2 linked regions of the Rattus norvegicus genome follow. The protein of the gene in region 1 binds, or shares a complex with, the protein of each later gene. Links are inferred from orthologs where the notes say so. Each region holds a gene or a part of one and is shown on either strand. Other genes may lie near its edges.

What was found.
Region 2: the proteins of Tsen34 (region 1) and Tsen15 are in contact, whole or in part, in a crystal structure (PDB 6Z9U), measured with the Homo sapiens proteins. The link is inferred for Rattus norvegicus from reciprocal best matches to the Homo sapiens genes TSEN34 and TSEN15. Residues at the interface, in NP_001070914.1 of Homo sapiens: Pro251, Leu252, Arg253, Phe254, His255, Ala256, His257, Tyr258, Pro265, Glu266, Asp267, Thr268, Ile269, Pro270, Leu271, Gln272, Leu274, Ser283, Val284, Arg285, Lys286, Thr287, Leu289, Leu290, Cys291, Ser292, Gln294, Val300, Tyr301, Thr302; in NP_443197.1 of Homo sapiens: Leu70, Lys74, Trp76, Thr108, Pro109, Ile110, Thr111, Ala112, Ser113, Leu114, Ser115, His116, Asn117, Ile119, Arg120, Leu123, Leu141, Ile143, Val151, Tyr152, Tyr153, Lys154, Leu155, Thr156, Asp157, Gly158, Phe159, Met160, Leu161, Pro162.

The regions. Positions count from the first base shown.
Region 1 is NC_086019.1:74,436,981-74,440,959, forward strand, and holds the start of Tsen34 (tRNA-splicing endonuclease subunit Sen34), read right to left. Parts: upstream 2,815-3,979; 5' UTR 2,670-2,814; exon of another isoform or gene 2,136-2,669; intron 2,011-2,135; exon of another isoform or gene 1,959-2,010; 5' UTR 1,955-1,958; coding exon 1,712-1,954; intron 1,562-1,711; coding exon 1,312-1,561; intron 1,180-1,311; coding exon 922-1,179; intron 1-921. UniProt on the Homo sapiens protein: Constitutes one of the two catalytic subunit of the tRNA-splicing endonuclease complex, a complex responsible for identification and cleavage of the splice sites in pre-tRNA. It cleaves pre-tRNA at the 5'- and 3'-splice sites to release the intron.
Region 2 is NC_086031.1:67,039,622-67,042,575, reverse strand, and holds the end of Tsen15 (tRNA-splicing endonuclease subunit Sen15), read left to right. Parts: intron 1-1,291; coding exon 1,292-1,433; intron 1,434-1,895; coding exon 1,896-1,916; coding exon of another isoform or gene 1,917-1,938; 3' UTR 1,939-2,442; downstream 2,443-2,954. UniProt on the Homo sapiens protein: Non-catalytic subunit of the tRNA-splicing endonuclease complex, a complex responsible for identification and cleavage of the splice sites in pre-tRNA. It cleaves pre-tRNA at the 5' and 3' splice sites to release the intron.

The sequences.
Region 1 (3,979 bases):
GGCCGTCTTTTTTTTTTTTCTTTGTTGAGCTAAGGTGTCATGTAGCCAAAGCTAGCCTCAAACTCTTATCTATGAGATAAGTCTATCTATGTCTCCTCTTATCTAGAGCCGAGACTAGAGGCCTGTGCCACAATACCCAACTCTAATCTTACACATTAATTCTTTGATAACTAATACTGTTTCCCAGACATCTGGAGGTTTTTTGGTTTTGGTTTGTTGGATTTGATTTTTCATGACAGGGTTTCTCTGTGTAGCTTTGGCTGGCCTGGATACCAGGCTGGCCTCAAACTCACAGAGATCTGACTGCTTCTGCCTCCTGAGTGCTGGGATTGAAGGTATGTGCCATCACTGCCTGGCAACAACTGGTTTGTTGCTGTTGTTGTTGTTCTGGCTTTTGTTTTGAGGCTCTCTCACTATGCAGCTTGGCTGGGATTACAGGCATACACCATTTCTTCCAGCTTAATAACTCTGTTTTGTTCCTAACTTATCAGTAACAGCCCTACTTTTAATCTTTCAATTCTATAACTAATCCTGCAGTGAATGGGCTCATATGTTTTGTGCACATTATGTAAGGATTTCTAAGTCACTTTCTAGATCACAGGCAGTATTTATAAAAAGTTACTACACTAAGCCAGGTGTTGTGACACAAGCCTGCAGTTCCAGCACTTCGGAGGTAGAGAAAGGAAGACCTCGCATTCCAAGGCTAGCCTGTGCAGCATAGCAAATTCCAAGCTAATTTTGGCTATGGGATGAGAACCTGTCTCTGACAAAACTATCCTCCTCGAGTTCAAGAGAACTCTGGTATATTCGATGTCCCTGTTTTAGGTTCCCTGGGCATAGAGGTGGGACAAAAGAGAAAATGTGCAACAAATAAAGACCATCAGAAAAGGTACAGCCACCACAGCCCCAACTCAAACTCACCAGGATAGACCAGGAAGTCACCACCAAACTTCCCAGCTGCGCTGAGGAAGAAGCCTCTCTCCCACAGGTCTCTGTAGATGCTGTAGCGAAGCTCATGAGCAGGACGGCCAGCATGGGGCCAGTCTTTGGACTGCACACGCCAGTCCAGAGGCTTAGCTTTTACAGGCCGAGGCCTGGCAGTGGCCAGCTGGATAAGCAGGGCTGATCTGGGCAAGGGAGTCACCCCATTTGAAGGTCCTGGTTGGGGGGATGAAGAATCTGGGGGTGGGGGTGGGACAGAAGAATTTACTGAGTCCACAAGGTCTTCTTATCCCCAGAAAAACCCAGCTAAAATTCTCCAAAGCTTCCCTCCCTCCAGCCCCAAATCTTAACTCTAAATCCTACTCTCACCTGCTCCTTCCTGCTCCGCAGAAGCCTGACCATCATCACTGGTCTCACTTCCTTGGGTAGCTTCACTTCCACCGGCTTCTTGGCCTTCTTCATCTGCCCCAGAATCCTGTTCCAGCTTCTGCTTCTTGGCAGCCTGGCCTTCTACGATCTTCTCCAGAAGCTCCTGACGCCGGGTCTCCCGGGCCTCTGCTGCCAAAGTGCTCTGATCCTGGAAACTCTGCTCTTGCTGGCGTTTGAACGACGCTAGGGCCTGAGAAGTAAACTTAGCTGGAATCCCAAGACACAGCCTGCAGTCCCTTAGGAAGGCAGGAATTCTGACCCTGTTTACAACCTTCCAACTGCCTCTTTCTAGAACAGGCCCTCCCAGGCCTTCCCAATATACCGGCCTTTCGTTTCTTACCAAGCCATGGTTGCGGGGATCCGGACGCGGGGCGCTGACTAAGGTCACAGCGCCTATCTCCGCCAGGAGCCGGGCTTCTTCAGGCAGCAGCAGAAGCGGAAGGCCCAGGCGCGAGTTCTGGCGGGGCCCGCGGGGCAGGGCGCCCACCGTGCGTCCCCCGACTCCCAGGCGCTCCCGCAGCGCCTGCACCGCCTCGGCTCCCCATACCAGCGAGCGGCCATTAGCGACCTCCACCACCAGCATCTTCCTGCGGAGTGGGGGTGCGTCGCGGTCACCCAAACAGCTCCACGGACCGGACTGAAGTCGTCCAAGCCCTCAGGGCAAGACCCCGCCCATGACCCCCCAGGGGGCGGGGCCAAGGTTGCTACCTGCACCCAGGCCAAGATCTACCCTGGGACGGTCCAGTTAAGACCACGCCCCTCACCCAGGTCCCACTGTTCCGCTCCCCCTCCGCTCCAGGTGACCATCATCTCTGCCAATGCGTGCCACCACATCTCAACTCCTCAGAGAGACCTCCCGCCATAGTGGTGCACCGCCCTTTTTGCAAAGTGCGTATCTTCTTTCTGTTGCGTCCGTCAGGTCTCGGAACCTCAATGTAGGGTGGAGGTTTGCTCAAGCCACACCCTTTTCTAAATAGTTGGAGCCCAGCCCCGCCCCTTTCGAATTTCTGAGATTCTCCCTTCCCGCCTATTCTGAGTCGGGCTTTTTAAAAGAAACCCAGTCCTGTCTTGCGCCAGCTGTACGATGTTCCAGCACCCTAAATAAAGCTCAATCGGGAGCCCTGCCCACCCTAAACAGCAAGCGTTCAGCCTTCGGAAGATTTCGACTCTACTTCCGAACGCTTGCGGGAGATCTCGGCTCAGTCGAATCAGCCACCCCCTCTAAGTTGCAAGAAGTTCGGCTTTCGAGCCTAGCCAGATCCGGTCATTCTTCAGTTGTGGCCCCGCCCACTTCCTACCCAATTTAAGGAGTTCACGCCTACGATTGAATCCACAGTCGCACACTGTGCACGCTGTGGCTCCTCTTCAATCTGCCGTACTGTCCCTGGGCACAGGCAATAAGTCAACACCTAGCCAACACCAAATCCCGATTAAGGCGGAGCTGGCCCTACGTAGCGCGTCCTCCGTCATCCCGTCAGGTCAGCAAAGCGGAAAAGCTAAGGGAGCCCTCACCGCCACTCTGGTCTACATAAGTGGGACCTTGAGGGTCATTGATCTGGCCTCGCCCCTAAATCCATGAGTTATGGAGGCCCCGCCCCTTCGCCTTTTTCCGGTCTTCCGTGGCTCCGCCTTCCTCTCGCCAGCAAGGCTTGACGTTTCAATAAGCTATTAGCTCTGCCTGTTATTAAACCAAGTCTACTGACACTCTAGTTCCAAAGCTAGGCCAAAACTTCTGCCCTCACTGGCATTTGACCTGAAAAGCATTCAGTTATCTGAAATAAGTCCAAATATGTGACCCCGCCCACATCCCGCCGTTATCTGACTCTCCTACGTCGCCGGATTCCGACTATCTCCGAAGTAAGCCGAAGCATGCGGTCCCGCCTACTTCGTGCTGCGTTCCTAGAGCCCGCCTAACACTAAACAACGACTTTTGGACCCGATCATTTCCGAAACAAGCCGAAGCGTGTAGCCCCGCCTACATCCGGCCGAGTTTGTGAATGCATCTAATTCCGAACGGTGACTTTAGAACTCGGCTATCTCCGAAGTAAGCCGAAGCTTGTGGCCCCACCTCCACGCCGTGAGCTTGAATGACCGAGTGTGCCCGAAGGAATCCGAAGCTGAAAGTCTGTCTTTTTCCGAAGCTGAGCTCCAGGTCCCTCCTCCTTCTCATGTCTCAACCAGACTCGAAGCTCTTGGTCCCGCCTCTCTGACCCGAAACCCCGCCCCTTCACGTACTGGCAGCTCTTTGCCCGGGGGCCTCCTAGAACGATCGCGACCGGCATCTTGCGGCATACTGGTGTTCTGGGTTCCTTTCTTACGGTGCTGTATCTCGTAAAGCAGAGGCTCTCGGGGCCTGGACCCCGCAGCCCTGCCGGCGCCCTCCAGAACGAGCAGTGCGGGGGCGTGCTGAGCTGGGGAGGCGTGGCCCGAGCCAAGGCGGTCTCGAAAAGGGGCTCCGCAGTCTTCTGCCCGGCGGACGGTTCAGGTGGGCCCAGGTTGGGTTGTATGACGGCGTCACGAAGATCGGTAGGGTGGCGGGGTGCGGGGACAGCGCCCAGAGCGTGGCCCGGCTGGGTGGCGTAACCGCCTGTGGATCTGCCGGGGCGGA
Region 2 (2,954 bases), on another chromosome or scaffold:
TAAAAGAGAGAAATTGTATAAAGTTGTCTTAACAAGGTTTTTTATTTCCTTCCTTCCTTTCCTTTTCCTTTTTCTTTCCGTCTCTGTCCTGTACTCATCATGGTTTGCCAGCTAGGGACACTTAGAGGAATTTACTTTCAGCGTGTCCACTGCGGGTTTTTGTGAGCGTTTACTAGGCTTTATGAATGGGAAAGAAGCAGTATGAGTGGCTAGGAGCAATGTTGCTGTTGCAGACGACTCTGGTTTTGTGCCCAGCACGCATATGGCAGCTGGCTGGTAACTGCAGTTCCAGAGGACCCAACACCCTCTTCTGTGGGCACTGCACACACATGATGTGCAGGAAAAACACTCACATACAGAAATTATTATTATTTTTTTTTTTGGTTCTTTTTTTCGGAGCTGGGGACCGAACCCAGGGCCTTGCGCTTCCTAGGTAAGCACTCTATCACTGAGCTAAATCCCCAGCCCCCAGAAATTATTTTTAACCAGCAATATTTGACAATTTAAACAAAAAGCATAAGGGGAGAATGGAATCAATTTTTGAGCGAGGAAATGATGCCAGAGGATAATGTGAATATAGAAATACCAGAAGTCTTGAGAATATTAAAGTAAGACACTCATGTGGTTCCCCCGATTAGGTTGAGAAAACAAAAGAACGAAAACAAACAAAACAAAAACCCCAAACCTTGCAACAGTAGGAGAATAATTGGGTCAGTAGGTAACAAATGGGGAGTTACATATGCAAAGGTAGTAGTATAAACCCTGTGGAAAAACAAGGGGTCATGGTTATTACAGTCCTTATTTTTCAGATATTTTGAGACTGGGTCTCACTGTGTAAGCCCTGGCTGGCCAGGAACTCTGTATAAACCTGTCTTATCTCTGATTTTCTGTGACTTTCCTGCCTCTGCCTCCCAGGCTGGGATATAGGCGTCTTCCATCACAACAGCCCTACAATCTGTTTAAAGTAATAGACCCCAGTGTCACTTGGTTCCAATAAGTTACCAACTTGGAAAATTAACATGTATGGTCCTTAGCCAATTAGATGAACAGCACTCTTAGGTCGTAGTTGTGTTCTTTGGGTTCCAGAATCAGCCAGTCCAGAGAGAGAAAGGACAGTGAGGATGCAGGCGGTTCTCAGGGCGGTCTGCGTGAGAAGACAGCCGCAGATGTGTTCAGTGAGCCTTAGCGTTTGGATGCAATGCCCTACCTTCCCCTCAGAAACTCCTACTGTTTGGCCTTACTGTTACTCAAGTAACCAGGACTCTCAAGCATCCTTTGTCTTCATTTCCAGGATAAGGGAAATCTTGAAGGCGTCTAGAAAGTTGCAAGGCGATCCGGAGCTGCCGATGTCTTTTACTTTGGCCATAGTGGAGTCAGATTCCACAATCGTCTATTATAAACTTACCGACGGATTTATGCTGCCAGACCCTCAGGTCAGTTTTGAAGTGATTGACCGGAAACATTAATGGGAGAGAGACCGAAACAGTAATGGGAGAGAGAGGCTCAGCCTGACCCCGAGTGTGGATCAGGCCACTCAGTTTCCACTTCCTTTGCCACGTGAGAAATTCAAGGCAAAAAAGGCTTGGTTTTTATTCCTCAGAATAAGAAAAGGCTGCATTTTCCTAGCTGTTTTTTGAAGAACTAGTTTGATTTTCCTGTTCTGTGGAGAATGTCCTATTTTTCCCAAGCATTTTGTGCATTCGTGCGTCTAAGTGAGTAACCGGAGTGAAGTACAAAGGCCAGTAATGGTTGTAGTAGAAAACACGGAGTTCCGTTCTGCCGGAACATTAGTTCGTGTCTGCGTTTGCTTGCTCTACATGTCCGTCTAGTTGGCATAGTCACGCTAAATATCTTTCTGATTGTACTCTTACCTATGCTCTCCTTCTGTGTTGCAGAATATTTCTCTTAGAAGATGACGGCCACCCTTCTTGGTGCTGATTTCATTCCTGAAAGATTGGATGCAAGGCTCATCAGCGTGCTTCGTCTTTTATCTCAGAGGTAGTCAGGGCTGACTTAGCTAGTCCCAACCCATAAACTTTCTTTCAGAACAAAACCTCGGATGGAAACACTATATTGCTTGCAAATATAGTTAGCCTAGAACTTTCTTATGAGAGACAGTACAGTCATGGGGGTTTACACCAAGGAGACGTTCAGAGTGGCGGAGGCTGGCTGTGTCTCTGCTGTCCCACAGCTCTAGTCGATAGGCAGGTATCCGTGAGCAGCATGGAGACAACACTACAGTAAGAGAAGGACCACAGCGTTAACGTGGCATGGATGCGAATGACACACCAGGCTGTGAAAGTAGACAATCAGATCACCAGCGATGGTCCCTGTAGGATGGCAGGGCAGCAAGTGGACTGCTTTCCTTCTCTACATTTCATTTGTTATTTGTATTAGTTTTATAATAAAACAGTTTAAAATAAAAATATCTTGAAATCTGAAGTAGTCATCCATCATTGAATGCTAAAGCTAGCAACATATAATAGCATATTTATGATCTTACGTTTTTATGGGCCAGTGATGCAGGCATGGCCTTGTGGGCTGTGGTCACAGCTGAGGTGCCACCACGATGCACTTCCTCTCAGCTTCCTACGCCTTGTGATGGGCTCTACCTCTACTGGAGTCCACATTTTGTGCCTTGCCCCATGGGTGCTTTTTCAAGGCTAACAAGAGAGCAGGCTAGACTTAGTGTCTCATGTGATGTCATGGGTCTTCTGTCTCGTCTGCCTTGTTCCTCAGTTAGAAGCAAGTCATGGTTCCCACCTACCCCAGAGCTCATAGCTCTTTAGGAAGCAGCAGTGACAGGAATGGGGAAAAAAAGGACAAGTAGAAACCTGACAAAGCCGGGTAGTGTGAAGGAGTGTGATGGGCTTTTCTTGGTCTGTAGTTGGCTTGCTCTCCCTTGACCATTCCCGAGACCTGCTCTATCTTGATGAAAGACGTTCACAACTTCA